Alligator mississippiensis: one gene and its partners. The protein of the gene in region 3 interacts with the protein of the main gene of each other region in a pairwise test. Links are inferred from orthologs where the notes say so. Each region holds a gene or a part of one and is shown on either strand. Other genes may lie near its edges.

Region 1 (7,110 bases), on a different chromosome or scaffold from region 3:
ACATTATACAACAAGTGCCTCAGGATGGAAGAAATGGCACATCAGGAACAGGAGGTCTAGTGCAGGCAAAATTAAACTTCATATCAATCTTTACTGCAAATGCAGATGAACCCACCCTTCTTTAGAAGGTAAAATGAACCCACCCTTCTTTAGAAGGTAAAATACAACTTGTATTTAATTATATTATGCATAACTGTCATATAATAAGACTATATTGTATCATTTGTTTAGCACGGATATTAACTATATATTATATCATACCTAATGTTCATTATATAGTAAAAACAATTGTACTGTTATGGGAAATGGCAGAAACAATGTGGGACTTTAAAATCAGACTGGACAAAGCATTAAGGGAAAAACTGTCCTAGGAAAAAATAACCTTATTTAACTGCCTTGCTCTTGTATAGCATTTTCTATCACTAGAACTCAGGCAGGAGAGACATGAAATATGAAGGCTTTTGAAGGTCTAACTTCTGTGATTCTGCATTCTTGACTTAATGCAACCCTGACTTTGGACAGGTGATAGACACAGCAAAATATCACCTGAAAGTTGGAGCACACAATATTTCTGGCCTGACTGCTGTCAGGTAGCACCAGAAAATTCCTGAAATTGCCTTCTTGAAATCTTTGCACTCAGAAAGGCAAGCTATTTTTGGATAAGCTTAAGATTGAATGTAGTTACTGCTGAGATCAACTCAAAATATCCAAATATCACAGGGAGAAAGCAGACAGCTTTATCAAGTGAAAATAATCTCACTCTCTCTCAAGTATTTTTTTCAGTGTTACTAACATGAAGGGTTTCACAGCTCTTGGCACATAATGTTGCAACTCTCTTTGCCTATGAAGATACTAAGAAACATGAACCCTGCTTACCCCTTCCATATGGATCCTGGGAGTTGGTGCCAGCCTGTATTGATTAAGTTGTAAACCTCTTGGGACTCTCCTGATGGAGGCAGGAGAGGACAGGACCCCAGATCTTTGGAGTGAACCAAATCTCATAACATTTTGTCCACATCTGACACCATCCAGTAAGCGAATTAGGAGCAAGTTGGACGGTAACTCTTCAATACTGCAGGAGACGAGAGTTCTGCATTCTGGGCATCTCAGCTCCTTCTGGGATTTCAGTATTCTCTGCAGACAAGGCTTGCAGAAGGTGTGCTGGCATGGTAGCACCTTGGCTGTGACATCTAGCTTTTCAAAGCACACAGGACACTCCAACAGGTCAAGTAAAGCTAAATCATCCATCTTCAGTGGAGAACTTGAGTTGTAAGCCAGGCCAGAAAAGTCCACATGATACATTCACTTGAGCATAGGTGGCTCCTTTTCATACCCTCAAAAACGAAGCTGTAATCCTAGGATCAGAAAACCATCCTGCATGAAGCAAAAGGGAGGGGGAAAAAAAAAGAGCAGAACTTCACTGCTACAGTATGTAATGTATCCCACCTACATTGCAAAGCAATGCCTCACGAGCCAATTTGCAAATGTATACTTTGCTCTCGCATCCAAGTCTGAAGTGAGTCATTTATGATTCAGTACTAGCGAGAAGAACAGTATTCAGGCTCAAATCGGTTGCAGAACAGATCCGGGCTCTGTTCGCTAGGGCAGATAAATAACTGTAGGTTACAATGAGTTAACCATATTAATTCATGACTGTAAATCAAAGCATCATTGACTGACTGAAACAGGACAGGAATGTTCCTTCTTGCGTGTAACATCTGAACACTTTAACACTTTAATGCTACGCAGTCTCCTGCTTACCATGTTAGTTATGAATACAATAATAAAAGATTTCCACCTGGTTAGGAGATGAGGTAAACATCATTGAACCTTATTCACACACACTGTCTCTATTACTGTTTAGCTAAACACACACACACTCACACGCATATACACCCACATCATACAACACCCACATGCTGTTTCATTTTTAAGATCCTTCCTAATTAAGCTTGGTTTCTACTAGTTTTTAGCAGCAATTCTATAAAGCCATTCAAATACAAGTATTATTCTTATACCTAGTTAAGGAGCTCTGCAGTCGCATCCTCACCTGCCTCGCTTATTCAAAACAGCCCCAAAAGTAATCATTATTCCTCCCACAATGTGAAGTCACTCAACCTGTTTAGCTCCTTTTTCAGCTGCCTGTTCATTTGAACTGAAACATGTATGAATTTTGGATTCAGGTCATGGCTTGTGGAAGCATGTATAGTTCCTTAACACATTCAGAGGCTCTGTGTGTATGTGTGTGTGTATAATCCCAACAAGATCCTATTTACCAATAATCCTTTTTCTTCTGATGTTGAAATACATGTTGATAACCCTGAAACCTTCCTTCTGAAAACCCACTGAGGCTTATTTGTTCCACATGGACACAGAGATTTTGTACTGTACTTTTGCCTAGTAATCCTGGTCGATATACTTTGGACCCTCTCCCCACTAATGAGAGAAGGTTATAATCAGTTTAACTGAGCCTTCATTTGTTAAGCAAAATCTAGAGATCGTTAATTCTTGAGTACCACTAACCTTGTATTTGTGACCCTTCGTAGGCAAGATCAATTCTGCACAGCTGAAGGGATGACAGCTCACTCCCTCCCCAAAATGCAGCCCTATTGAAAACTTTAACAACTATCTATCTATGTTACTGGCTTACAGATCAACTTACTTGCACAGCCCTGTTAACTCCATCACTGCCTGATGGATCCTCTCCAGAAAGTTTCAGAAAGAAGCTCCTGCTTATTGGTCCTGGTTAGGAGGCAGACGCTGGGTTGGAGGATCTGACCTCAGTGGAGGTATTCTGGACGTGCACTGCAGAAGTGAGATAAGATCCTGGCTCTGAGTCTTTCTCTATACAGCTGAGCTTGTTTCTGAGAAAAGGGTGGAACCACTTTTAAAGCTTTATTCTTAGGAACTCTCAACTAAGCAACACAAAACCAAGAAAAAAAATCTGGCTTCGTGTTGCTTTCTATTTCTGAAAATGTATTTAACTCAGCATTGTAAAAGCATTGGATTTATTATACTGGAACAGACCAACGGTCTATATAACTAGTTATCTGCATCCAGCACTGACCGATACTGGAGGCTGGTGACCCTCCAATGGCATGTGCACATGTGATACTTTCTTAAGAGGTGGGAAGCAACTGTCTGATCAGATTTGATGATCTACTTTGTTTTGTAGTATTGTATCATTTACATACAAACGGTGTAAGGGCACATGGTATTTTTGTTCATGTGCCTTTTATTAAAACTTACAAAGCTCTTTGCCTCCAGCTCCTCATGTCATTCATGTCAGTCTGTTCCACAGGTTGTGTTCCACACAGGCTCACAAAAAAGCGTACTTACTCCTTTCTAAATGTTTAATTCATAGCAAAGATAACATTGTGACAGCCTTGTTAGGAAGCAGGGCAGTAAAGGCCTGTTTTCACAGCCTTTAACACACTATTTGATAGTTTCAAAATAGAACAAGGCCTGGGTATATAAACATACTAGTTGGTATATACCAAAAGGCATATTTTTAAAGCTCTTAAATGCATATTTAATTTAGCTTGGCTATTACATTTACAGTAGGTTAAATGCTAACCAATTATTAAACTAATTATTGAGACTTATCACAGTGTGGCAGATATTATTTTTGAAGGAGTCAAGTTATTAATCATTGGTAAAGGCATTTTAGCCTTCAATGAATGCAAAATAATGTACTGTACTTCATTCTGTCATTACTATGTAGATAGAAATTCCAGGGAAGTAAAGTAATCATTGGCAGGGGGTGGTTAATTCACTTCCAACTAAATCTAGGCGGCTTGTTTTCAACTTTGCAATGATACTCATTTGAAGGGATAGTCTTATTTTAGACCCAACTCTATCCAAATGCTCTCCATTATTTATTTATTTGCTGTTCTTCAGTAGCATGGAGAGGCTCCAGTTAAGACTGAGGTACCTTGGGGAGAGTGGTCAGAGTAGAGAATCTGGTCCAGGGAGTTTGGGATCTGGGGTAGCAAACTGTGCGCTAGCTGTTTCTAGAAGTGATCCGGAGGAAAAAAGTCCTGCCCTTGTAAGTCCCCATAAATGTATCCCAGACACAGCTACTTCAATGAAACTATTTCATCTACAGTTCTTTTTTTCTAGTAATACTTGGACTTATAAATGCCACAGACAGCAGGGAGCCTGCTCCTGCTCCCATTAAATTAGCAACTTCAGTAGGAGGAGAACTGGGCCCAATAGGCATGGGGGATTTTTTGAAGTTTTCCAGCTCAGCAGGATTTACAGCTCTGCAAGTTGCTGACCCTTCATCTCAGAAGCTCAAAACTCTTGTCTGCCCCCGGGGCACTCAGTGCACTTCAGTATCACACCTTAAAATAACAGCATCTAGCACTGAAACAAACATCTTCGCACTTCTGTTCAACAAAGCATTGTCTAATAAGGATTGTTCTCTAATTAAGTGCTAGCTCCAAGTTATAACAAAATGCCCTGTCTAGAAATTGGACAGGCAGGCAATGGAAGGAAATTCATGGTGCCTATTAATTTCTGTTGTTGATATCAGCAGCTCCTGTTTTATCAGTTGACCTCCTTTCCAGATCCTTGCCTTTGCTCATCTATTCTCATGCGTTGGCTTTGTAGCAAGGGAGATAACTAGATGTAGGGATGAGTCAAGCAGATTTTTCTCACAAATTTCTGCCATCTCGCAAAAGAGCATGTTTTATTACTGTACAAGTACTCCAGGGAGGAGAAAGGGATTTGAATTTAATTTAGCGATTTGTATTTGCTCCAGTTTCATTCAGTGCTTCTGGTAGGTCTTTACTCTTAGCCATATTTCTCCTCATCCCCTCTATAAGCAGCAATAAAACAGGGACTTAATTTTGAGAACAGCTGAACACAGCTGGTTGAACCCTTTATAGCCAAATTTTTCCAGCAAAAATACAAATTAATTGAAAAAGTTTTCCATATTTTGCCCATTATGATAATTTTACTTAAACCATGTTTAATCCTTAATCTGCTTTGGATAAAAATACTGGCAAAATAGCACTGTACTGAATCTAGTCCTCCTGGGTGAGGTGCTGGGTGATGCTTCTTTTGAAATTCCATCCTGGGTGATGCTTCTTTTGAAAATCTTTCTCATTTAGTTCAAAATATTAGACTACATGTTTCTATAACCTTAGAAGAGGACCTGAATCTAGCATCCAATCCTACACATCATCTTGCAGGGCTGGATTTTATAACATAGCAATTGTTCTTTGAGGATTTGAGAGAAATAGCCTTTCAACTTTTCTGTCTCTCTGCTTTCAACTTTTAGTTATAAACATTTACACTTATTGTAATCACATGGGAATGTCAGTTCATACTTGGACTTGGAGTAATCATAGCAATCTTTTTGTTAGGCAGTTCCCCATCTACAAAATGAAGAAGATGGGGTGGAGGCAGAGGGATTGACATTCTTCATCTGTCTTGTATGTGTGGATTGTCTAGCACAATGAAACCTTGATCTTGATTGGAGTCTCTTAAGTGCCACCCTAAGATAAAATATATTCCTTTGACTATAAGACACTTTAACAGGAAATATTTCCTCTAAAAATACCTGTCTTAAGTTTGAGTGAAAAAGAAAAAGTAGAGAGCTCTAATATGCATTATAGAAGTGACTTAATAGAAGTTTTATTTTTTTCTTTAAATTGAGTCTGACAGTTGAAGTGTGTCTTAAATAATAGTACGTCTTATAGTTGAAAAAATATGGTAATATCTATAACAATATTTAGCAGTTATACAATCCTTTAAATCTGCAAGGTTTTTTTTCCCAGGCACTAATTAATCTGTGCATGGTCCTTGAGTATAAGTATTATTCCCATTTTATAGCTGGGGAGCTTGGGATATGTCGATCAGTTTGCATAAGGCCGTACAACAAATCAGTGTCTGAACCGAGATTAAGTTATGAGACTTTCCTGGATCCCAATCCATGCTTAGCCCATTGTACATAACTGATTTGGCAGGTATTTAAGCACACATTTTTATCTGAGGGGTGTTGGTTCTGGCTGTGCTGGTCTAAGGACACAGGCAGACAAGGTTATTTGGGTAAATGTAATATCTTTCAGGCGCCTGTGCCTGAAAGCTTGTAAGAATATTTTTTCCATCTATTCAGTTGGTCTAATAAAAGATATCACATTTACTCAAATAACCATGCCTGCTTGTTTTATGTTAAACATAGCACATATTTAGCCTACATAATAGCACAGATTACCATTTCCCCAGAAGTATCACTGCTAGTGAAAGATTCTGTTCTGAAATCAATTACAGAGGACAGAATGAACACATCTAGCTTCATAGGAATTTCATAGGAATTTGTCTTCCACTTCCCACCTGAGTCAGATTTATTGTTATTAATGGGAAGAGCAAAGTCCCAAATGAATTGCTCAATGTCTGAGGTGGTGTGATGAGGTGCTGTAGTTGTCTTCTTGGCTAAGTACAGACATTCAAAAAGCCTGAGCCTGAATCGATTCAGTCTTTGCAAGTTAGTTTAAACTGCATAGGCTGAACCGAGAAGCAGGTGAATAGACATTCACATTTGATTCCAGAAATGCAGCCACCTGCATGCAGTGGCTAAGGCTAGGGGCTAGAGCAAGCCCTCCCTTCCCTTTGGCAGTGGTAGAAAGGGTGGAGGGAAGCTGGGAGAGAAGCCCTCCAGGCTTTTTCCCCCTCCCTGCTCAAGCTAGTGGAGGGGGGGTCATGGCCAGGCCTTGGCAGGCCACTGAGTATGATTGGAGAGGGGTTTAAATCCCCACTCTGACCTGTACAGTCCTCAGCCAGGGTGTGCCTGGAGCGGGGAAGCAGCCCCTGCCAGGCTCTTCTCTGCTTGCTCTTCTAGTGGCATGGGTGGGGGCACCCTGAGGCCAAGACCAGCGTGGACCCCAGTGAGGGTCTGCCTCGCAGGAGCGCGGCAGCCCCTGCCAGGCTTTTTCCTGCTTACTGCTGGAGCAGTGAGGCCAGGGTCATGGCCAGATGCCAGCCCAGGCCAGCCCCCTGAGGTGAAGTGGGGGAGGAGAGGGGTTTAATCCTCCCTCCAGCTCCTGCAGCAGCAGCCCCTGCCAGGCTGGCTCCTGCCACTTGAGTGGCAAGTGGGGAAAAGCC
Region 2 (7,077 bases), on a different chromosome or scaffold from region 3:
GCCAGCATCCTGCTTCGCCAGCCTGCCCCACATCCCATCGCACGGGGCCCGCCGTTGCCCCCCGCCACCGGGGCAGGGCCTTACCATGACGTAGTGACGCTGCATCTCCGATTTCTCGCTGGCCAGCTTATCGCATTCCAGCTTCAAGCTGAAAGAGCAGAGAGAGACGGGAGCACCGAGAGCCAGGCCTGCTACCAACTCCCCTCGTCGCCAGCCGTTTCCTGCGGGCTCGTACAGCACCTAGCACGACGGCTTGACCCCTAGATACTATTGCAAGACTAAACAATTTGGGGCTTTTTTGTACAGCACCTAGCCCCGCGGTCCATAACCGATGCTCCTAGATAGAAGAATTAAGACGATGCTAATGACACCAGACCACCCAGCCACGAGGTCTTCCAAAAAGCTACCCAAGAGCCAATCTTCCATCTTCTGGAACAGAAAAGGCAGGAAGGAGGAAGAGTTTGACCTCTTGTCTATGAGAAAGGCTTGGGTCTGATCCCACAGCTGGGACCCAAGTAGAGTCAGGGGTCACAGGGCCATGACACGGGTCCAACTGCAACATTTGAGAAATGCTTGTGCTATTAATAAGTCAGACACGTAATGAGGACTACGGCACAGCTGCAAGGCCACCTCTCCCAACAGGTTTTGTGGTGCTCTGTGGGAAAGCAACAGGAACTCAAACATCCTTAAAAAAAAGAGAACAGAAGATACTACTTTTCTCTATTTAAATGTAATAAACCCGGTGATTTTTGGCAGTCGGGAGCTCAGCCATCATGTGCTGGGGGGGGGTTGGATTTCCAGCGAGAACCAGCTTTGCTCGCACACAGCCCGTTTCTCTTCCAGCGGATTAAACCCAGCAAATGTCTCCTGCTGAAAGACGGTGACTGCGGATATGTTGCTAGCGCTCCCGGGCCCCGCAGCTGGCACGGCTTCAGAGCAGAGGCACGCTGGAAAGTCGGCCTTCCCGATGAGCGACCTCGGGCCGCCACACACCTCAGCCGCTGGGCCCTGCGGGCAGGATCCCGCGCTCCTGGCATCCAGCAGGAAGCAGGCCGAGACACGGAGGACCCGGGGAACGTCGGCGACGGATGGGCAGCTATGGGAGGTCGTATCGGAGGGCATGAAATAAGCCAGGCCTAATAATTAAGGGTACTCTCGCCTGGCAAATTGAAGCCCGGCGTTTTAGATTTCAATACCCCAAAAAAAGACGCAGATAGTGATGGCTCTGGAAGGGTTTGGAGAGGAGCATTTCCTCCCAGCGTCTGCAGCCAAAACACTGCAGCCCTGAGAAAGGCATGTGAAACTAAGCAGAGATTCACAAGGGGCTGGTCTAATCTCCCCGTCCTGGCCCAGCGAAGGGGAGATTTAATGCTTTCATCTCCAGTTAGCTACAGGGTCACCTGGGATATCTTTTAACTTGGGCTCATTGCTTCTCATTCCAGCTGGGGAATCTCTTGAGCCCTGGCAATCCCTGCTCTCAGGCCCTCAAATGCAAGCTGGGGTGGGGCAGCGCATGTTGCCCACTCTCTTGCTCAGGGATTACCTGTGCGTGCAGAACCGTCCCCACCGATGGGATCAATACCCCGGAGACCGCAGGCAGAGCCAAGCGGGGAGACATTGCAGGGATCCTGCTTTTATTCCTGCCGAGTCTGTCCAACAGTTTCTCTACCTGACACTCTTTGCATGGCAACACCTCCGAGGGGGGCACCCCGAGCCCTGCTCTGACGCTAAAGCTAGCGAAAGACAGGCCGCCGGCTCCCGAACCCAAGCCCCTTCCTCCGGCATCTGAGAGCACCAGTCATGGCAAGAAGAGAGGGGGGCCCTCCCCGAGGCAACATGCAGCCAGCTCCCCGGGGTAGGGGGGGGCTAGGCCTGGCAGACCCTGTCGCGAACACCACCCGACCGCAGTGCCCGCCAGGCCGGCCTCGGCTGCCGTACCTGTGATACTGCGCCTGCAGGAGCTGGAACTCATCCTTGATCCGGTCGCAGGAGTCGGACGTCGTGAACTTCAGCTGCTGTGGCAGGTGAGAAGAGCCCTTGAACGACAAGGAGAAAGCGCTGGGTGGGGGGGCAGAGCCTCGCAGCCTGGATCCCTGCGCCCTCGCCTGCCCCGGGTGCAGGTGGGGGTTTGCAAGCGGGTGCCCCCCCACCCCCAGCTGCCGAACGGCCCCTTCGGCAGCACCCGAGGGGGCTCCGGCTGCGAGACGTGCTGGCATCGACCCCCCCGGCTGCAGGTGGGGAGCGAGGGGACACAGTCAAGGTCAGCGGCGGCCTCCCCAGACCGCCGCACCCCCCACGACGGGTGGGGAAACTGAGGCACCGGGCCGCGCTGTGCCGGCGCCGCCTGCACCCGTTCCCCAGGCCCGGCCCTGGCCTCCCAGCCCGGAAATACAGCGTTTCCCCCAGCGAGGAACGCCAGGCAGAGCCGGGGCGAGGAGGAGGAGGAAGAGGGGGGCTAGGGCAACACCGCTCCTGCCCGGCCGGGGAGGGGGCGCGGGGAGCGGGGCAGCCGGGGTGCAACCCCCCCCCCCCCCCAACCCGCGCCCGGCCCCGCCGCGATCCCGGGCCCGGCCAGGCTTTGCAGCGGGGCCGGCCGGCCGGCCTGCTCCACGCACCCCCCTCCCCGCCCCATGCACCCCCCCTCCAACCCGCATGCACCCCGCAATCCGTGCACCCCCCCGATCCGTGCCCCCCGGTACCGAGTGGCGGCTTTGTGGAAACATCATGTCAGGCTGCGGCCGCGATCCGGGTCCCCGCGCGGCTCCGTGGGCCGGGACCAGGCAGCTGCAGCCGGCTCCGCCGCGCCTTTGTCCCGCCCCGCTCCGCTCCGCAGCGGCGCACCCGGCCGCTTCCCCCGGCGCAGCCGCGGCCCCGCGCTCGGCCCCGGCCCCGGCCCTGCTCCCGCTGCCGCTCCCGCTCCCGGCCGCTCCTATTGTCTAATGGCGGCTGCGGGCTCCTGTCCTGCGGCTGATCAGCACCGCCTGCCGGGCCCGGCCCTGGCCCTGCTCGGCTCGGCTCGGCCCTGGGGCCTCCTCCGGGCCAGCGCCTGGCGCGGGGGATGCGCCTGCCCCACGGCCGCCCCGCACCGCGCCGCCGTCCTAGGCAGTCTCCTAGATCCTAACGAGACTCCTTGATCCTAAAGACACTCCTGGATCCTAGGGAGGCTCGTCCATCCTAAAGAGACTCCTCCATGCCAAGGAGACTCCTCCGTCCTGGGGAGTCTCCTAGATCCTAAGGAGTTTCCTCGATCCTAAGGAGACTCCTCAATCCTAAAGAGACACCTTGATCCTAAAGAGACTTCTCAATCCTAGGGAGATTCCCAGATCCTAAAGAGGCTCCTAGGGAGACTCCTCAGTCCTAAGAAGTCTTGTAGATCCTAACAAGACTCCTGGATCCTAAAGACGCTCCTGGATCCTAGGGAGATTCCTCGATCCTAAAGAGACTCCTAGGTCCTAAGGAGATTCCTCAATCCTACCGAGTCTCCTAGATCCTAAAGAGACTTCTGGATCCTAGGGAGACTCCTTGATCCTACAGACACTCCTAGGTCCTAAAGAGACTTCTGGATCCTACGGAGACTCCTTGATCCTACAGACACTCCTAGGTCCTAAAGAGACTTCTGGATCCTAGGGAGACTCCTCCATCCTAAAGAAACTCCTCCGTCCTAGCGAGATTCCTCCATGCCAAGGAGACTCTTCCGTCCAAGGGAGTCTCCTCAATCCTAAAGAGACTCCTCAATCCTAGAGAGATTCCTCGAGGGTAGGGAGGGTCAGGGATCAGCCCTCTCCAAACCACCCCAGACAAGCCCGTCAGCAGCCCTGACATGACACGGGCCACAGGGCAGGCAGGGGGACCGCACGGCCCCCTCCTCTGTGCACACTGCAAGGGGTAGAGCAGCCCCCTATTTACTGGGTACCGTCGGGCATCTCTTGCCCCCATCGCTGGAGCTTGCCCTCGAGGGCCTCCTTGCCCGTGTGTGGCCCGCCGGTATCTGGCCCGCGTGGGGGCCCTGCTAGCTGGCAGCAGTGCCATGTGGTCCTGCCGTGCGGCTTGGCCTAGAGCGGGGAAGACAAGATCGGGGGAGCTATGAGGGCACCTTGTCTCTGGGTGAAAGGCTAGAGCAGGGATCGGACGTGGGTCCGAGGGCTTGGATCCTGGCCGCTTCCCATGGGCCATAATAGGAGATGAAGAGTGGTGGCAGGGCTGTCACCTTCTGTAGCCTGGACCCAGAGGAGGCGACTGGGGCAGGGAGTAAAGACTGGTCTTGTCCAACAAGGGGTGTCGCTTCTGCAGCACGTGGTGCTGGGTGGAAAGGGAGTCTTTGGCTTAAACTCTACCCGCTGCTAGCTGGGTCCCCGCGGCAGCTCAGAGCCATCCTCCCCCATTAGGCAGTGTTGCCAGGCTGGCTTTCTCATGCCGTCCGCCGCAGGAGCAGCACGTGCCGTTTGGGCGGGGGTTTCACTTCCCCTGACTTTGACTCAAGGACGCTGTTCTGTGTCCGAGAAGGCCGGGGAAGCAGCGGGCCTGGGGAAGGCAGCAAAAGGTCACGTGGCGCCTGGTGAAGCTCAATGCGTGGTCTCAGATCGGTGCCCAAAAACAGTCCAGTGACGGTGCCCTTGGCGCGGAGAATCCTGGTATCTCGGAGGGGCAGGAGTCCTCAATCCTTCAAGCTGAACCCAGGAGGGATTGGGAGTAGGGAGCCGTAGCACTTCCCAACCATCCAGAGCTACGACCGACCGGCCTGAGGGTGAAGCACCCTGCGCTTGTATGTGACTGGAGAGGGCTCGAGGGCAGCGCCTAGCGCCATCGCCCCATGTCGCCAAGCTGCGGGATGCCTACCAGGCTGCGATCCAGGCCAGGAAGTCAACTGGGAAATGCACCTTATTTCTTTCCAAGACATCCGGTGGCAGATGAGACTGCTGATCCTGATGTTGGGTATTAAAGCAATTGGCATATACTAATGAGAGGCCAGATCCTTGTGATATATGGAATAGAGGCATGGGCAGAAGTGAGGGCTGGGTTAGGGTTTGCAAAAGGCTGACTGTTTGCAGGGCTGGAGGTGGGGAAACAACCGAAGGATGCCCAGTTAAAAATGCAGACAGACAGGCAGAAGGAATCAAAACTCATGGTAGATGTGATAAAACCAACTAGATTTTTGCAAAAATAAAAATATTTGCAACCTGAGTACCTACAGACAGACAGGCAGGGCCAGGCGGCGGCAAAGCTTGCAGGACATGCAGCATCATAAAAAATGAGGGTGAGAAGGGAGCTCAGGAGGTCACATCTAGCCTAACCCCCTGCTCCAAGCAGGACCAGCCCCAACTACATCATCCCAGTCAAGGCTTTGTCTAGCTGGGTCTTAAAAACCTCCAAGGATGGAGAGTCCACAGCCAGACACCATCATCTTTTGACCCCCCCACATGCCTCTGTGAGTGTTGCAGTGTCACCCGCACAATAACAACTGGGCGTTGTGCTTGGCACGAGCAGGAGAGACTCCCTGAATCCGTGGGCAGACGGGGCCGAGACGCACGTCTTCCATGAGGCCTTTGGCTCAGGTTGCTGGCCGGAGATGAACAGAACGGGAATGTCAGGGTCAAGCTGAATGCAGCGTAATCGCTGACGGCGGATTCAGAGAGACGAATGACCGCCCCGTGGTAACAGAGAAATTACCAAGGCTTGTTTCACGTAACAGAACCCATCCGGAGCCCACGTGGGGAAGGTACGCAGCTGTACCAGGGCAAGGACACAGCCATTCACTCAGGTTGGAAACAGTGGAATGAAAGCCAACACCCACGCTTGCCTTGAAGATTCGTCGACAAAGGCAGTGGCTTGCATGGAAACGTTCCCTGGATGAAGGCAGAGCTTCACGGCCGAGCCTTTGACTGGAGATCAAGGGGTTCCAGCTCACTTCGAAGCTGAGTCCCCACCTACCTTCCTGACCAGTCCCCACCACCTATTTACTGCCCTGGAAGCAAGAGGGGTTCTCCGACAGTTTGGAGGGTGTTGGACCGGCTCCTGCATCTACCTGAATCCTCCAGAGAATTCGTGTTCTAGGCAGAGCCCTGGTACCGCTGGGAAATGAAGGAGAAACTAAACCTGGCCTGGCATTAAAAATAGATGTTGAGTGCAGTAGATGATACAGGGTAAAAGTACAGTTGGGTATTTTGAGTGCCGAATTCTGTCCCCACCATTGAATGGAAGTTGTGAGTGGCCTTGAAATACAGCACAGCAAGAAACCACGGCACCCCAGGTAGCTCGGGATGTGTTACACAGGTGAGAGATGGGCACAGGATGAGCGCTGGCTGCTGCTTTTGCTAACACTTGGTCTCTGCCCCTCTGCCGGGACCAGGCCAAGGCCCTAGATTCAAACTGTGCCAGGACCTTAGGTCCAAGCTACACCAAGACCCTAGATCCAAACTGCACCAAGATCCTAGGTCCAAGCTATGCCAAGACCCTAGATTCAAACTGCGCCAGGACCTTAGGTCCAAGCTGCACCAAGACCCTAGATCCAAACTGCGCCAAGACCCTAGATTCAAACTGCGCCAGGACCTTAGGTCCAAACTGCACCAAGACCCTAGGACCAAACTGTGCCAAGACCCTAGGTCCAAGCTACGCCAAGATCCTAGATCGAAACTGTGCCAAGATCCTAGATCCAAACTACACCGGGAAATTCCAATCCAGAGGCATACTGTGGTTCCACCTTTGCAAGGGGAGTTGTGCCACCGATTTCCTAGCATGTCCTCAGGCATGCAGAACTAAGCATGTGCCTTCACGTCAGCAGGATCAGGTTCTTTGCGTCCCTCCTGTGACTCAGGGACGCAGGCCAAGAATAACAAGCACAATACAAAGAGTGTGTGCATGGGTGTGTGTGTGGAGGGGGGGAAGAGCTCTTACCCATTTCAGACGCTTGATGCATTGTCTCAGAAAACCAGTGCCTTTTCTGATTCCAGCAAAGCTCCCAGGGCTGCAGTGAAGGGACCAGGCCGTTGCCATATTTATTTCTAAAGAGCACAATCTAGAGGGCTGAGGTCTTGTGGCACCGACTGTGCCTTGTCCTGGAGTGTCTTCTCGGGCACAGCC
Region 3 (7,706 bases):
AGAAGGTGTGCTCTCTATATAAAAGGAGCAGTATGCTTCCTTGGAGTCCCAGATTGGTTCAGGAGAAGGGCGACTTGAGACCCTGTGGGTAAAGATATGGAGGAGAAGGGGACTTGATGGTAGGCATTTAGTACAGACTGCCACACCAGGAAAAGGACCTGGACCTGGAATTTTCCAGTGAACTGATGGAAGCTAGGAGCAGGGCAGGGTAGGCAGGGGGGTGCAATAGATCCTGGGATGCCAAAAAGTGATCTTCACCATAAAAAGGTTGGAGACCACTGCTCTAGGAAGAGACTTGTGAATCCCCATAATAAGATTATGCTAAATGTGAATATTCAAGTACTTTGGTAAGACTGTGCCTTCCCTGGAGATGCACCAGTAGCACATGTGGACATGTGTACACGTGTATAGACATGCCCACGTGTATAGGCATGTGATGCGTATGCGGGTGCACGTGCACCCCCCGAGCGTGGCGGTGCACCCCCTACAAAAAGGCAACCGCTGACACTGCTGGTGGTGCCTGTGGGCGGTCGCTGCTTGACACCCCCCTCCATCCAGGCCTTCGATACGGTATCCCACCCCATACTGGTGAACAAGTTAAGAGGCTGTGACGTGGATGACTACACAGTCCGGTGGGTGGCGAATTGGCTAGAGGGTCGCACCCAGAGAGTCGTGGTGGATGGGTCGGTTTCGACCTGGAAGGGTGTGGGCAGTGGGGTCCCCCAGGGCTCGGTCCTTGGACCGATACTCTTTAATGTCTTCATCAGTGACTTGGACGAGGGAGTGAAATGTACACTGTCCAAGTTTGCAGATGACACAAAGCTATGGGGAGAAGTGGACACGCCGGAGGGCAGGGAACAGCTGCAGGCAGACCTGGATAGGTTGGACAAGTGGGCAGAAAACAACAGGATGCAGTTCAACAAGGAGAAATGCAAAGTGCTGCACCTAGGGAGGAAAAATGTCCAGCACACCTACAGCCTAGGGAATGACCTGCTGGGTGGCACAGAGGTGGAAAGGGATCTTGGAGTCCTAGTGGACTCCAAGATGAACATGAGTCAGCAGTGACACAAAGCCATCAGAAAAGCCAATGGCACTTTATCGTGCATCAGCAGATGCATGACGAATAGGTCCAGGGAGGTGATACTTCCCCTCTATAGGGCGCTGGTCAGACTGCAGTTGGAGTACTGCGTGCAATTCTGGGCGCCACACTTCAAGAAGGATGCGGATAACCTGGAGAAGGTCCAGAGAAGGGCAACTCGTATGGTCAAGGGCCTGCAGACCAAGCCCTACGAGGAGAGACTAGAGAAACTGGACCTTTTCAGCCTCCGCAAGAGAAGGTTGAGAGGCGTCCTTGTGGCTGCCTATAAGTTCATCATGGGGGCGCAGAAGGGAATTGGTGAGTATTTATTCACCAAGGCGCCCCCAGGGGTTACAAGAAACAATGGCCACAAGCTAGCAGAGAGCAGATTTAGACTGGACATTAGGAAGAACTTCTTCACAGTTTGAGTGGCCAAGGTCTGGAACGGGCTCCCAAGGGAGGTGGTGCTCTCCCCTACCCTGGGGGTCTTCAAGAGGAGGTTAGATGAGTATCTAGCTGGGGTCATCTAGACCCAGCACTCTTTCCTGCCTATGCAGGGGGTTGGACTTGATGATCTATTGAGGTCCCTTCTGACCCTAACATCTGTGAATCTATGAATCCACCAACACCACTGGCGGCCTCTGAGGGAGGTCCACGATCACCACTGGCCGCCACCAGCAGTGATCATGGACGTCTGCAGGTGGTCACTGACCGCTGCTCAATGCTCACCACCACCCCATCACTGCCACCAGCACCGCAGTTGCCTGTGGGATCTCCACGCTTACCACTGCTGCCAACGCTGCTGCTGCCTGCTGGAGCTTGCCGTGCCCCTCCAGCCACTGGGGCCATGTGGCATTCATGGGCATGCCTACAGGCATTGCTGCTGAGCCAGTTCCAAAATGACCCAATTGCTTTTCCTTAAACTGGTGAGCACCCACCCGGATGAAATGACAAACCAGAAAACCTCAATCCTCCAAGCTTTCCTGCAGAGTTGGGGGAGATCAATGTCACCACATGCAGCCCTGAGCTGACCCCCAAAGACACAGCTGCTCCCCAGAGGGCAGTTCCTCCAGCCTAAACACTAATAACACTGATATGCTTTTCCTGTGCTGTGAAATCTCACTCACAGCACAGGGGGTGCCAGACACATACATTCATGTGCAGGAAACCTAGTAGTGTGCGGGACATGAGAACGATACCAGTTCCTAGGACTCTTGTAAGCCCAGGGCACTGCACTGTGTATCTGGACATCACCAAAAAATGGGGGAGAAGGGAGGTACTGGTTATTTGACTGGCTAAGCAGAATCGTGCTGCACACAGATTTCCTGGCCTCGCCTGCAACGGAGTGGTCTTCAGACCCCGGAAACAAGCCACCTTTCAAGAACCGCAAACGGGTCTGAGAAGTTGCACTTCTCTCCCAACCCACCAGCCCAGGTCTGGGTCCAAGCAGCAACAGAGCCGAGGGGGGCCTGAGAGATCCTTAGGACTTCTTCAGGGTCCCCAGCCTGTGCTATACCAATACCGGGATTTTAAGAAAACCAAACGACAAATTAGGTAGGCGAATCTGGATGCCACGTTCCCCGAATAAGAATGTCACGGGCTAAAGGCAAGGAGAGGCTTCTCCTGTCCTGCCTTCCCCTGCCCCCGCGGAAGGGCGGCGCTTTCGAAGTGGCGGCGCGGCAGGGCCGCGGGGCCAGGCTGCCCGGGGCTGAGCCGGGCCAAGGGCCGCTCCTCGGCCCTGCCCCGCGCCCAGAAGGCGCCCCAGCCCCGGCCGCGCCCACGCCCCGCGGCAGGTACCTCCTCCTCGGGCGGGCTGGCGTCGGCGGCGCCGCCGTCCCTGTCGGCGGGCAGGCTGCTCATGGTCCGGCGCTGGCTGGAGCCGGGCTGCGGCGGGCGGTGCTGAAATGAGCCCGCGGGCCGGGCGGGGCGGGAAGGGGCGGCACGCACGGGGCCCCCCGTCGGGGCGGCGTCCACAGCCGCCCCGCGGCCCCCACCAGGCAGGGGCTGGGGCGGGGCGGGGCTTGGAGCCGGGGCGTCTCCGCCGCGCCGCCTGGGCGGGCAAGCCTGTCCGCCGAGGGGGCCGGACCCCCGCGCTGCTTGCGGCGGGCACGGCGCGGAGGGACGGATACCCGGGCCGCCCCGTCCCTTTCAGCCAACTTCATGTGGAAAAGCGACACCTGGCGCTGGTTGTTCAAAGACCCCCGCACCGGGAGGGGAAGCGGGCAGGGAGAGCCAAGAGGACAGAGATGCAACTGGACCTGGAGGCAGCGCGGAGGGCTGCAACAGGATCCGCAGCAGCGGAAGCGACAGCGACAGTGAATGAACTGAGAATATAAACCTCAAATCGGTGCCTGGACTAAAGGACTGCGATTGGGGTAGGTGAGGGTGGAGGGTGGGTGCGCAGGGGATTGGGTGCGTTTATTGTAACGGGAAGTGCGGGTGTCTTAATGTGGCTTTAAGATGTGTGATGGAAAGCTTATGATAGAGGATATGTATATATGTGTATGTATGTATGTATATGTATATATATTTTAATTTTTTAAAAGTCCCTTTTCTAAAGTATCCCGCCCCTCCCCCATGCCCTGCTGCCCCACTTTCAGCCCCAAGCCTCTCTCCTTTCTGTGTTGAAATGACGCTTTCCCTTGAGTGAAGCACTGGAGCCAAGGAGGTGTGACCCACCAGCTTGCAGCTGAAGGTGGGTGAAAGGAAGCTGGAAATAAAGTGTGGAAAGGTGCCAGGGGTGACTAACCTACCTGGGGAACAACCCACCTGGGAACATGGTGAGCTCCCTGAGATAGAAAACCTTTCAGGCCAGTTTGGGTGTCTCTTGCAGGCACATGCACTCTGGCCCAAACAGAAACCGTGGGCTCCAGCAGGATTCCTGGGGCATGCTTTGGCCTTTGTTACAAGAGACCAGACTAAGAGGATCTGCCACAGTATGCCCTGCTGGGCTTCAGATCTAGAAAATCAAAGCTGAACCAAGCCTGCTATACAAAAGGTAACATCCCAGAATTGCTACCCACAGCAGGCAGTTGCAAAAGGATTTGATGGGGGTGTCTGGAGCAACTGAGGGGGGAATTAATTTAAATCAAATGTTAGCTTTAATATAGTTTTCTCAAAGGAAAAAAAATATCAAGCAAGACATTGGTGTACAAGTACCTGGCTCCAAGCCAGCTGTCTTCAGAAAGCTGCATTCCAGGTGGAAACACCTGTGTTACTCTCTGGCGCTCTGCCACTGCAGCCAATTCTGTATAGAGGACGTAGCCTCTGTACAGGTCTACTTCCTGGGTTAAGACATTTTCTCTACCTGTATCCAGGTTCATTCCCACATCAGCTTCACAATACAACAGGTACCCTCATTGCATGCAGGCTCCACCTGCTGTCTACTCATCCCACTGAGCAGGGAGCAAACCCAGAGAAGAGGTGGCTGCACAGCCTGTGGGACAGAGGAGAGACCAGGATGTCCCCCACTGCTCCACTGGCAGTGTGAGAGAGGGAGTCCTTCCAATTCTCTGGAGCCATAAGAGATGCTTCACTGAAATGGGTGAGGTAGAACTGGGCTAGACTCTGGGAGATTAAGAGTGAGCCAGCAGAGACAACGTCACCCTGCAGAGCTGGCTGCCATCAGAATAGGAAGAGACAGACATGACAAATGGCTCCACTGCTAAACAGCAGGAGCTCGGATGCCAGATGGAGGGGGGCTGTACCTGCTCTGACACATTCCCTTTCATCCCTGGGGATCTGGCTTCTCTGGCACTTTTTGGTATCATTTGCACAGTGGCAAGGCCAACAGAGACCCACTGGATTTGACTGAGATGACTAAAGCACACTAGCAGCTGTTTGTGGCCAAGCACCCCCTGCAGGAGAGACAAAAAGGAGGCTTTCAAATCAAGAAACTTTTATCCTGTGAACTTGTCTTTCCCAGCTAAAGCACCTATTCAGTACTGGCCATTGGGAGCATCTACACATTCATCGATGCTCAGTAGTTACTGACCATTTAGTTTAGTACTTCCTTAATGAAGTACTAACTAAATGTGCAGTAACTACAGCTACTGTGCGGTAGTGCTGGCACATGGTTTTTTTGTGATGGTTACTGCATAGTAGCCTAATAACACTGTGCAGTATGTACCTCATTAGCATGGTTTTTAACCGGCATACTACTGCTCGGTGTTATTAGGCTACCTCACAGTAAGCGTCTTGTGTAAACACGCCCACTAATTAACCTCTGCATACCAGACTGGCAACAAACTACCCCTATGATCCCCGAAATTGTGGGTATGGATTTCCTCCCATGCCTTTGTGCTGTTCCCATTAACAAATAGATAAATAAAGGAACCAAGGAGATTGTTTCAAGGGCAAAACCTTTTTCTGAACCTAATTCAGTTCACATCAGGATACGCAGCAATGTGTGACCTGTCCTTCTGCTGCTAACCACCAGCCCTAGGAATGGAAAATCTCACCACCAGTGTTTCATTTCCACTGGACTCCTTAATGCCTAGCTCATTAACAGGCCAGTAATAACCAGCCCTCTAAAGCAAGTACAGTATTCTAGGTCTGCATACAACAAAGCAAGCTGTGCTTTAATGTCTTTTGCCATTTCTGAACACTAGCTAGTGATCTAGAAAATGCCCCCAGATTAAATTGCTTGAATGGTTACACTTTGACCTTGAAGCAACACAAGTCAATTTGCTTACATTACGGACAAACCTAAAACAATTTTTTTTGCCGTATATTTCCCTACTCTGGCGAGTGCTGAAAGTCAGGAACACCACAGATGTGTAGGACAAAGTTCAGCATTTGGGATTTTAAATCTGAGAAGTAAGAAGTACAGATAAAAGCAAAGATAAAAGCAGATATGCTTGACAGAAGAAGCAGAGTGTACTGAGATAGCTATCGGGACATGTTGGTTACAGAAAAGAACTCGTAATTAAACTGCAGGATAGGCACCTAGGGCTATGTCTTACCCTTCTGAAAATCATTGCGGAAACAAAAGTGCCAATAGCTCCATGTCTGGATAAGGGGTCAGAGTCACAGCATCTGCCCTTGCAGTTGGATCTTGGCCACTCGCTCTGCTGCTTACACATGAGCCAACACAAAACCCAGCACCTTCCCCATCAACTGTTGTTTCTGCAGCTTGGACAGAAGTCCAAAGCAGTAAAAACTAATTTCTTCCACTAAAGTAAGTGGGTCGGGCCCTATAGCAGGGGTGGGCAAAGTCTAGCCCATGGGCTGGATCTGGCCCATGGCAAACTCCATTTCCCAGCAGCCCCTGCCCACATTGCTGTGTCCGGTTTCCATGGAGACCCCAGCAGTGGCAGTGCTGTGACAGTGCATGGCCAGGGTTTCCATGAAGACTGGCTCCAGCAGCACTGGCAGAGAGTGCAGCTGGACGAGGAGCTGCTCCAGGGCTGGAATCTCACGGCACTGACGGAGTGGTCTGAAGTTGGGGCAGAGCCACTATCTGGCTCTGTGTGGTCCAGAGCTGTGGTGTGCAAGCAGCGGATCCTCTGGACCATGTTTTCACCACTGCCAGATCTCAGCCCCGGCCGTGGATCAGGTCCCTGCCTAATGTGCCCTGCCCTGTGCCCATACTATCACGGCACCGCCACTACTGTGGTCTCATGGAAACGGGCCACAGCAACATGAGTAGGGGTTGCTGGGAAATGGAGTTTGGTTCCTGGCTGGATCCACCATTCTGTCCATCCCTGCCCTATAGGGAGAGCCTTTAAAATGAATACATTAATCCAGGGCTGTCCAATTTCTGAGCAGCTGTGGGCTGCACCATCCCATTGCCACATTTCCATTGGCCACACTGCCCACCAGTTGGGCAGGAGGAAACTGAAACTGGAGAAGACCTAGCCTGGAGACCCTGACTACCTTCAGGGAGCTGGGGGAGAGGAAGGGAGAGGAGGAAGAGGAAGACGGTGATCACAACAGAAGCAGAAGCAGGTAATGAAGGGAGGCAGTGATCACCAAAGGAGAGGCACCCCAACCCATGGTGGGAAGTGTAGGGAGGCAAGGATGTAAGGGTAGCAGGAGCCCCAAGTTAAGCTCTTTCAGGTTCCATGCAGCCCATAGGCACAAATTGGACAGCCCTGCATTAGTCCATCCTTCCAGGGACCTCAAACTTCTCTGGAACAAGGAGGGCCAGGCTCAGGCAGGTGAACAACACCCAGGGGGCAAGCTCCAAATCCAGGCTTCAGGAAGATGCTAAGACCCAGGTCCACTCTCCCTTCAGCTTCAAAGCTTCCCTGGGTAAGTGGGAAGAAATCTTTCTTTGCCTTCACCTGCCTTCTGCCTAACTGCTCACAGTACCATCCTGTCTCAGAGGAGTACGCTGATGGAGGCCATGGAAGTATTTCAGAGACTGGTTACCTAGGTGGAATGGTCCAAGACTGTTCCTGATTTTTAAGTCAATACTGTTTTTCTGAGCGTAGAGGAGGGCCTTGTTATTTCATCGTTCTTCTTCCTCCCATTTTCAAACACCTTTTGCTTCCTTGATGGTCAGCTCTTCTCAGTGTAGCAGTTATGGAGGGTTGACATGGGCTTCTAAAGCAAAAGAACTTTGAAAAGATGCAAGTACTCATTACTCTGAGCCCCTATGCTGATGCCTGTGAGCAGGTGATAG
Region 4 (7,117 bases), on a different chromosome or scaffold from region 3:
CTGGCAGACCTCACCAAATAGGACCCCGAACACTTCACCCAGAATCCCTCTGTCACCCCCCCCACCCCGCCCCCCAGCCTGTTGCATATGATTAGTGTGCCCCCACCCTCCAGGAGGTGGAGCTGGATTAGGTTCCCCTGCACCTCATCTGCATATAGGCTTTGGAGGATCCTTTATGCGGGTGTATCTTGGAGTACACACACGTACTAAGCCGTGCCAAGCTGTGTGGTCACCTTGGCTTGAAACACTGTTGACTCTACTAGGGCCCAGTCCAATGAACTATGTGGCAAATCATGAGCCTTTTGGCTGATATCATGCATAATTTGTAGTATATCTAAAGAGGCTTCTAGTCTCTTGTGAGCTAAGATCAAGTGGGGGCATCTGAACCCCCAAGTCGCTGGGCTTGGGCCCATACATAGGATGCCTACCAGTGGATCTGGAAGTATCTGAAGTCCTAGGGTGAGAGCCTGGGATGGAGGACGCTCACCGGCTGTAGCATCATACATGGTGTTTAGTACAATTGAGTTCTGCCTGCTCAGTCAGTATGGTTTTTGGAACAATTGAGCTCTGCTCCATCGATTTATGATTTGAAACTGATTTGGCTAATTTGATCTGGAGTTAGAAATTTATAAAAATATCTAAATAGGTACAAAAGTGCTGCTTAAATGTGTTTATGGAGTATCTGTGCTAAAACTTGCAGCAGTTTCCAGACAGGCCAAATGCATATATTCTGGATGAACTAAGTCTATGGGTATGAGAATCTATAGTCATCTGCCTATATGCAAATTGATATCAAGGTTAGCATTTTCAGATTTGCCTCTCACTTTTGCATGTGTTTAGAGAGAGCAGTGTCTGATGGTAAGGGGTTTCAGGGGGAAGAATTTGGGGGGCAGAGGGCAAGGGGGCACTTTATAGACACACACACACACACACTTATTTTCCCTGCTCTTGCAGTAGGAGGTGGACAAATTCAAGTCGCATCTTCAATAATTAGTTTCTATACCTGGAAAATTATTATTGGGGGGATCATATTCGAGTAAATTAGGTACTTGAAAGACCAGTTGGCTGTTTGTAATGAAGCTTCTGTATGCTAGGAGCTGTACAGACATAGAACAAGACCAGCCCTGCCCCAAAGAGCTTACAGTCAGATAGACAAGAACAGAAATGACTTGCTGAACGTTGCCCAACAAGTCAGTGATAGAAGTATGAGTAGAATACAAATCCTATGGGACCAAGGCTGGTACCCCATTTACTGGACCCCACTTTTCTTTTCTTTCTTTCTTTTTTTTTTTAATGGATAGAAAATGAATGTGATGGGTCACCCCTGTTCCTAGGCATCTCCCATCATACGCTGTACCCTCTGGACAGCCCGAGATTGCAAATGCAAAAGGAAGAGTATTGCGGTATCCTCCTGTCTCCTCCCTAAGTGTGACAAATTCGGTGCAACTGCGTAGCGCGTGGGCAAGGAATTACGAAAGCTGGCTGCACTTGCTGTACCTGCTACATCAATTATAAAACTCAAAAGTATGTTTCTTCTAAAAATCATTTCATTTCTTAAAAATGGGGTTTTTCATTAAAATTCAGATGAATATTTCATAATTGCATGTAGGGTCTTGTACTGCCCATACTAATGGAGCATCTTCCAGGAGTGCATTATTGAGATGTACATGTTTCACATGTCCATAAAGATGTCTGGGCCCAGTTCTGTCATGTCATCTATGTGCTGGTGTGACTCAATTGACTTCAGCAGATGCTAAAGGAGAACGGTGACTCAATGTGCGATACCGTCTACAAAGTCCATACTGCATTTTGGATAGAGAAGGAAACGATGCGGAAGTTGGGACTCTTGGCTTCGAGTCCTGGATATACCACTACTTCCCTGTGTGCCATTGATCCAAATACTTTCCTTTTATTCCTCAGTTTCCCTATCTGTAAAATGGGGATGGTGGTACCAACTTGCCTCTTTGGGAGGCATCATGAATTCTGGTATTAACAATTATTTACTGCATCAGATTAAGATGGACCAGGTCTGTACAGCTGTTACTGGTATGTTGTGTTTTTGTTTAAGACCTGGGAAGTTGCCAACATGAGCTAATTAATTGCTGGGTTTGTTAATTTGACAATTTTTTTTTTTCCTGCTGCAGGAATGTACTATAAATATTGTCCTTTTTAATTTAAAGAGTGTACCTTCTTTCCTCCCCACAACTTACCCTCTGGAGCGAGACTTGGCAGAGAATTTTTTTTCTGCCAAATCCAGCTTTTCTTTGTAAAGATCAGCTGTTTACAGTAGTTTCCTTATAACACTTTAATTTTCGGTTCTGCTCTTTTGAATGCTTCTTTTGCTTCTTCCTGTAAATATTTTGATTTTTTTTTTTTTAAAGCTGCTGTGGGGAACTGAATGCAGCAGCTGCTTACTGTGCTTCAGAATTAGATGTGGCTAGACATCACAGGACGTCATTTTGCATAGAGAAAAAGGATCCTCTTCAGCTTCTGTGATTTGGGCTGTGAAAATAAACCCCTTCTCAATCCTCTTCCCCTCCCACCCACACCTCACCCCCTACCCCCCAATTTCTCTTCTCAACCATGTTGAAAGAACATTTCATGTATTTTTATGCCGGATCCCAACCTGCTGTGGGCCACAAAGCATAAGAGGGGGGAGAAGCCATTTGAATTGGAGAGGGGGTGGCAATTTGAAATCACTCACTCTTGGGAGGCCCTGAGGGTCTCTGGCGGCTCTGGGGGGCAGGTAGGCTGGAGGAACAGTGGTGATGTAGGCTGGAGATCTTCGGAGAGACCTTGAACCCTCTTCCAGATGTCATGGCAAGCTTTGTCCAAGCTGTCCTGAGGAGTGTTGTGGTGGATCCAGATGTGCCGTGGGAACGGCCCCAGAGGGAACGGCCCTTTGGGGCTTACTGTCGGACCCTGGGGCCCGTTTTCACCTGTGGGCATCTCTTCGTCTCTTTGCACCCAGAGACCGAAGGCCAATTTTTTTTCAAAGAAAGGTTTCCTGCGGGTACGGAACGGAATGAATAGCAACAAGCCGCGGTAGCTCGGTAACCGCAGAACCCCCGGGCCCGGCAACGGATATGAAGGATAACAACCAGAAGCAGCTGTCGAGGTCCCAGCAGCACCCACCCGACCACACGTAAAAGGGAACGCCAGGTCTTTTTAGGAAGACTGAGAGCAGCAGCCGCCGAGGCGTCTTGCAGATTCGGCCAGCCCGCATCTTAAAACAGCCCTGATTCCTCCCTTAGGTTGAATTAATTTCATATTGTATCCTGGTGCCCAGGGGGCTCCTTCATCCCTGTGGCCCTTGACATTTGTGTCTCTTCCCAGATGCCTATGTTGGGTCCCCTTCTTATCCTCGGCAGTATAGGCTGAAGCAAAGAGGTGGGGTGGGCATGCAGGGGATGCTAGAAGAGACAAAGGCAGGAGGTATGGATGTCCTGTAGTGCCTTGATCTCTGTGGGGGGAGCAGTGCGTCTCCCTGGTGCTCCTCACTAACCTCTAAGCCCTGGATTGCGCCAGGTCCTAGCAAACAGTGGGGTCCAGTGGAGAGCCCTTTGGCATGAAGTCCAACCTACGCTCTGCGCTTGGCTTGGTTGCTATTTGAGCTTAGACAGCCAATGTAACCCTCTTTACTGCTCCTCTTCCCCATCCAGCTGTTTGTCTGTTTTGGCGATTTTTTTGGATTCTTCTGATTTGTCTGGGACCAGGACTCAAGTGCTAGCATAATATCACTAGCTGTTCCTGCCATTTTCTCTTACCATCGCTACAAACCGGTCCAAGGCATCCTTTCCCTTGTCTTCATTGAGTCTTTTGCATGCTTGGAGCCAGGAGTGGAGCATCTCTCCCACTGTCCTGGACTGTGCAAAAGAACTAGCTCCGATTCTTTTTTTTTCTTGGCGTTTCCAGCGGAGCTGGAGATGTATACAAGTTAAAATGGGTTTACTGCACATGGCTCCTGCTGTTTAGGTTGATGCATTTCCACAAGATAGACTGGCTCCTTGCAGAACTGTGCGTCTTTCTACAACTTCCCCTCCGTGGATGCGGCTAATGGTATGGCGGGGGAACGTGGGGCATCTATTTCCCCTTCCACTTGCCTCGAAATTCAGGGAAGATGTTGCTGGGAACTCAAGCGTTTATTATGGTGTGACCAATAGAGTGTCCTTTGGTTCTCATGGATGGGTCTGAGCTATGACATTTTGGAGCTTGTCAGCATTGATGAATATTTGCTTTGTTTCTTTTTAACACTTTTCCTATGCAGCACCAGGCACTAGCCATTTACAAACACAAGATACTGGAACATCACTTTCTATTTTAGTAATATGCTGCCTTCATGCACTAGCCATTTTTGCCCTTTACTAGCTCGGATGTTTGAGTGATGTCACCCTTTGGTGCCTGGAGCACAACAGAAGAGAAAATCCTGAATTCTGGTGCTCCAGTGAAGATGACTATTCATCCTACATAGTGCGAGTCTGCATTTCTGGAGCAGAAGCTTTGGAGTGCCATTTCTGCTGCAAAGGACAAAGCATCATGACATTATCATGGGCTCATTTGGGGGCAGGCGTGCTGGCTATAGTTAAAACTTATCCCATTTCCACTCGGTAAGGGGAGGGCAATCTGAATGGAAGGTAAGAAATAGTGCAAACCAAATTTTAGAACCGCTATTTACATTCTTAAAATAAAAAAGCCCCCAAAACACTCGCCCAACTCCTCGGACAGCTGTGCCCACAATGCCGGACTGTACAGAATCAGCAGGCAAGCCAGGCTAAAGCTTGCATGGGAAGGTGCATGATGCTGCCAGCCGATCACGTGTATTTATCAAATGAGGCCTGTCCCTTGTACTCCGGGCAGGCTCACCCCTGCGAGCTTCCTCAAATGTGGGAAACTCAACTGCACAACGTTGTGGAAATGGGGGACTGTGTTCTCGCTTTCCTCGTGGCTCTCTCGTCGGCCTTTGGCTAGGAGCAAGCAAGACCAGGGGGCATTGTCCAAACCCCAGGGCCTTGGGGCTTCAATGCAGGATACCTGCCATGGGGTTGGGGAATATCTGAAGCCCCAGACTGATGGGTCTGGCAGATACTTGCCTAGTGGTAGAGCCATACAAACTTGAATGATGGCGCTCTGCTCAGTCAAAATTTGGCACTTGACTATTGGGCTTTGGCCAATTGAATTCAGAACTGATTTGGCCCTTGAAACTAAATTTAAATTAAAAAAAAAAATGTACACATTCAGGTGAACAATTGTGCTCTTCTATTTTTTTTTACTACCAGAACTATTGCATCTTTCTTTAAACTCCCGACTTGTGCAGAACCTCCCCTCAGATCCATATAAAAAGTGGACTCGTATGCTCTCTCTCTCTCTCTCTCTCTATATATATATATATACACACACACACACACACACTAAACAATAATGACTGCAGCTTCTGTGTTAATAGAGAGATTATTCATATATGTGGCTGTTGCCTCCTAGTTATGGCCAGATTAAAACAGTTTTTATCCAGTGTTTGGTTAACAAAGGATAAATAAAATGCATCTCAGCACTTACCAACACATATGTCCCTATGCAGACTTGTTAATTGTAGCACTTTTAATCGCGAGAAATGCTGTAATACTCGCCAGCCCAAGTGAATTCTAGGATTCCTCCTTCCGAGCTGCACTGACAGCATAGAAAAACAAGTGCTGTGTAGGCAGTGGAGTAAAAGAGCCTGGTGTCACCCCTCCTGGACGATGACCCGGGTTTTGGCACCAATTTATCTGTGACCTTGGACAAGTCCTTTCCCCTCGTCTTGTCAAAAGGAGGGTGAGACACTCAGGGAATAACACATCGGGATTAATATTCTGCATTGCTCTCAGGACCATGGACGGAAGACATTCAGAAGCATTGCAACTTGGATGATGGACGTTTACAGGGAAAGAAATAAAGGAGTACCTCTGCCCTGTCGCTGAGGCTGGGGGAGGAAAGCGCATGACAAAGGGGACAAAAGAAGGGTGCTGAGTGTCTTTCTTGGGATAATGTGTTGCATGTCTTTGCAAGTCAGACTCCGGCAGTTGGAGCCCTGGTTCTGACGGTGGGTGGCAGTGCAGAGCAAATATTCTCTGCTCCTAGTGGGTGCTTTGATTAGACACAGGATTTGCCTTTCTGAGATAATTTAGCAAGCGGAGAAAGTACCTGAGTAGTGGAGGTTAAGAGCAGACGGTTAACCAGAACCTCTGCCTCCCAAAGAGGGCAGGAAGAAAAATCTCTGCTGCAAACTGTCAGGAATTGCAACTGCTGAATTCCTCACTCCTTGCCCATTTAGCAAAGGCATGCCAGTCTTTTGAGAGGCTGAGACCCTAAACCCAGCAAGTCAGGGGGGAAGCCTTAAAGACTGATTTGAAAGAGATATGAACGTTACTAACCTGGAATAAAGTGGGATTATGTCTTCTCAATGGCTTTATTATGCCTGCATATTGCTCTTGATCTGGTGTCGGTTGTCTTTGGCTCGCCCTGTAGTCTGCTGCATGCAGCAAGCCAAACACATCTTCCTCTGAATGCAATTTCAGGGATTTTTTTTCTTTCCTCCCTTTTGAGGGGAACTAGCTGTATAAGAGAAAAGCGATGTATGGAGCTGAGCAGTATAGTACCCTGCTCTCTGCTCCTTTTATATTTGGATCTATGCCTTTGAACAATCAGATCTATTTGAATAGGACACTGCAGTTTAAACCGATATAAAGCAACTCTTTCATGTAACAGCCCTGGTTGCCTTGGCTCTTGGCATCAGTTCACAATGTAGGCAGTGGAGGGATTGAAAAGCAGAGGGGACACAGAAAGTGAGCGAGTGAGAGCAAGCGAGAGGATTGATTCGGGGGTGGAGGGAGACATTTGCAAGCCCTCTGTATAAATTGTTTTTTAGCTGTCAGATGAGCTCATTCAAGGCAACCGGAACAAGTCTGAAGAAGGGGGTTTTGCAGCAAGAAACTGCAGCAAATGCAAAGCACCAACGTGGGGGGAGGATGGGTGACTAGTTCATTAACACCCCCCCACTCCAGACCAGAGGGTAGAAGGGATGGCAGCTCCTTCTGGACCAGCAATGCACCTGGCACTATCCAGCCCCCTCTCTCCAAGCTCC

What was found.
Region 1: the proteins of RBPMS (region 3) and SH3RF2 interact in a two-hybrid assay, tested with the Homo sapiens proteins (2 studies listed by BioGRID and IntAct). The two-hybrid records come from large-scale screens. The link is inferred for Alligator mississippiensis from reciprocal best matches to the Homo sapiens genes RBPMS and SH3RF2.
Region 2: the proteins of RBPMS (region 3) and TLE5 interact in binary tests that used the Homo sapiens proteins (3 or more experiments, as listed by UniProt). The two-hybrid records come from large-scale screens. The link is inferred for Alligator mississippiensis from reciprocal best matches to the Homo sapiens genes RBPMS and TLE5.
Region 4: the proteins of RBPMS (region 3) and C6H1orf94 interact in binary tests that used the Homo sapiens proteins (3 or more experiments, as listed by UniProt). The two-hybrid records come from large-scale screens. The link is inferred for Alligator mississippiensis from reciprocal best matches to the Homo sapiens genes RBPMS and C1orf94.

The regions. Positions count from the first base shown.
Region 1 is NC_081832.1:64,689,564-64,696,673, forward strand, and holds the start of SH3RF2 (E3 ubiquitin-protein ligase SH3RF2), read right to left. Parts: upstream 3,017-7,110; 5' UTR 2,663-3,016; exon of another isoform or gene 2,524-2,662; intron 1,375-2,523; 5' UTR 1,303-1,374; coding exon 877-1,302; intron 1-876. UniProt on the Homo sapiens protein: Has E3 ubiquitin-protein ligase activity. Acts as an anti-apoptotic regulator of the JNK pathway by ubiquitinating and promoting the degradation of SH3RF1, a scaffold protein that is required for pro-apoptotic JNK activation.
Region 2 is NC_081839.1:3,804,965-3,812,041, forward strand, and holds the start of TLE5 (TLE family member 5), read right to left. Parts: upstream 3,019-7,077; 5' UTR 2,727-3,018; coding exon 2,700-2,726; intron 2,037-2,699; coding exon 1,939-2,036; intron 149-1,938; coding exon 85-148; intron 1-84. UniProt on the Homo sapiens protein: Transcriptional corepressor. Acts as a dominant repressor towards other family members. Inhibits NF-kappa-B-regulated gene expression. May be required for the initiation and maintenance of the differentiated state.
Region 3 is NC_081825.1:169,286,536-169,294,241, forward strand, and holds the start of RBPMS (RNA-binding protein with multiple splicing), read right to left. Parts: upstream 3,023-7,706; 5' UTR 2,939-3,022; coding exon 2,876-2,938; intron 1-2,875.
Region 4 is NC_081829.1:7,529,552-7,536,668, reverse strand, and holds the start of C6H1orf94 (uncharacterized protein C1orf94 homolog), read right to left. Parts: upstream 3,012-7,117; 5' UTR 2,950-3,011; coding exon 2,705-2,949; intron 1-2,704.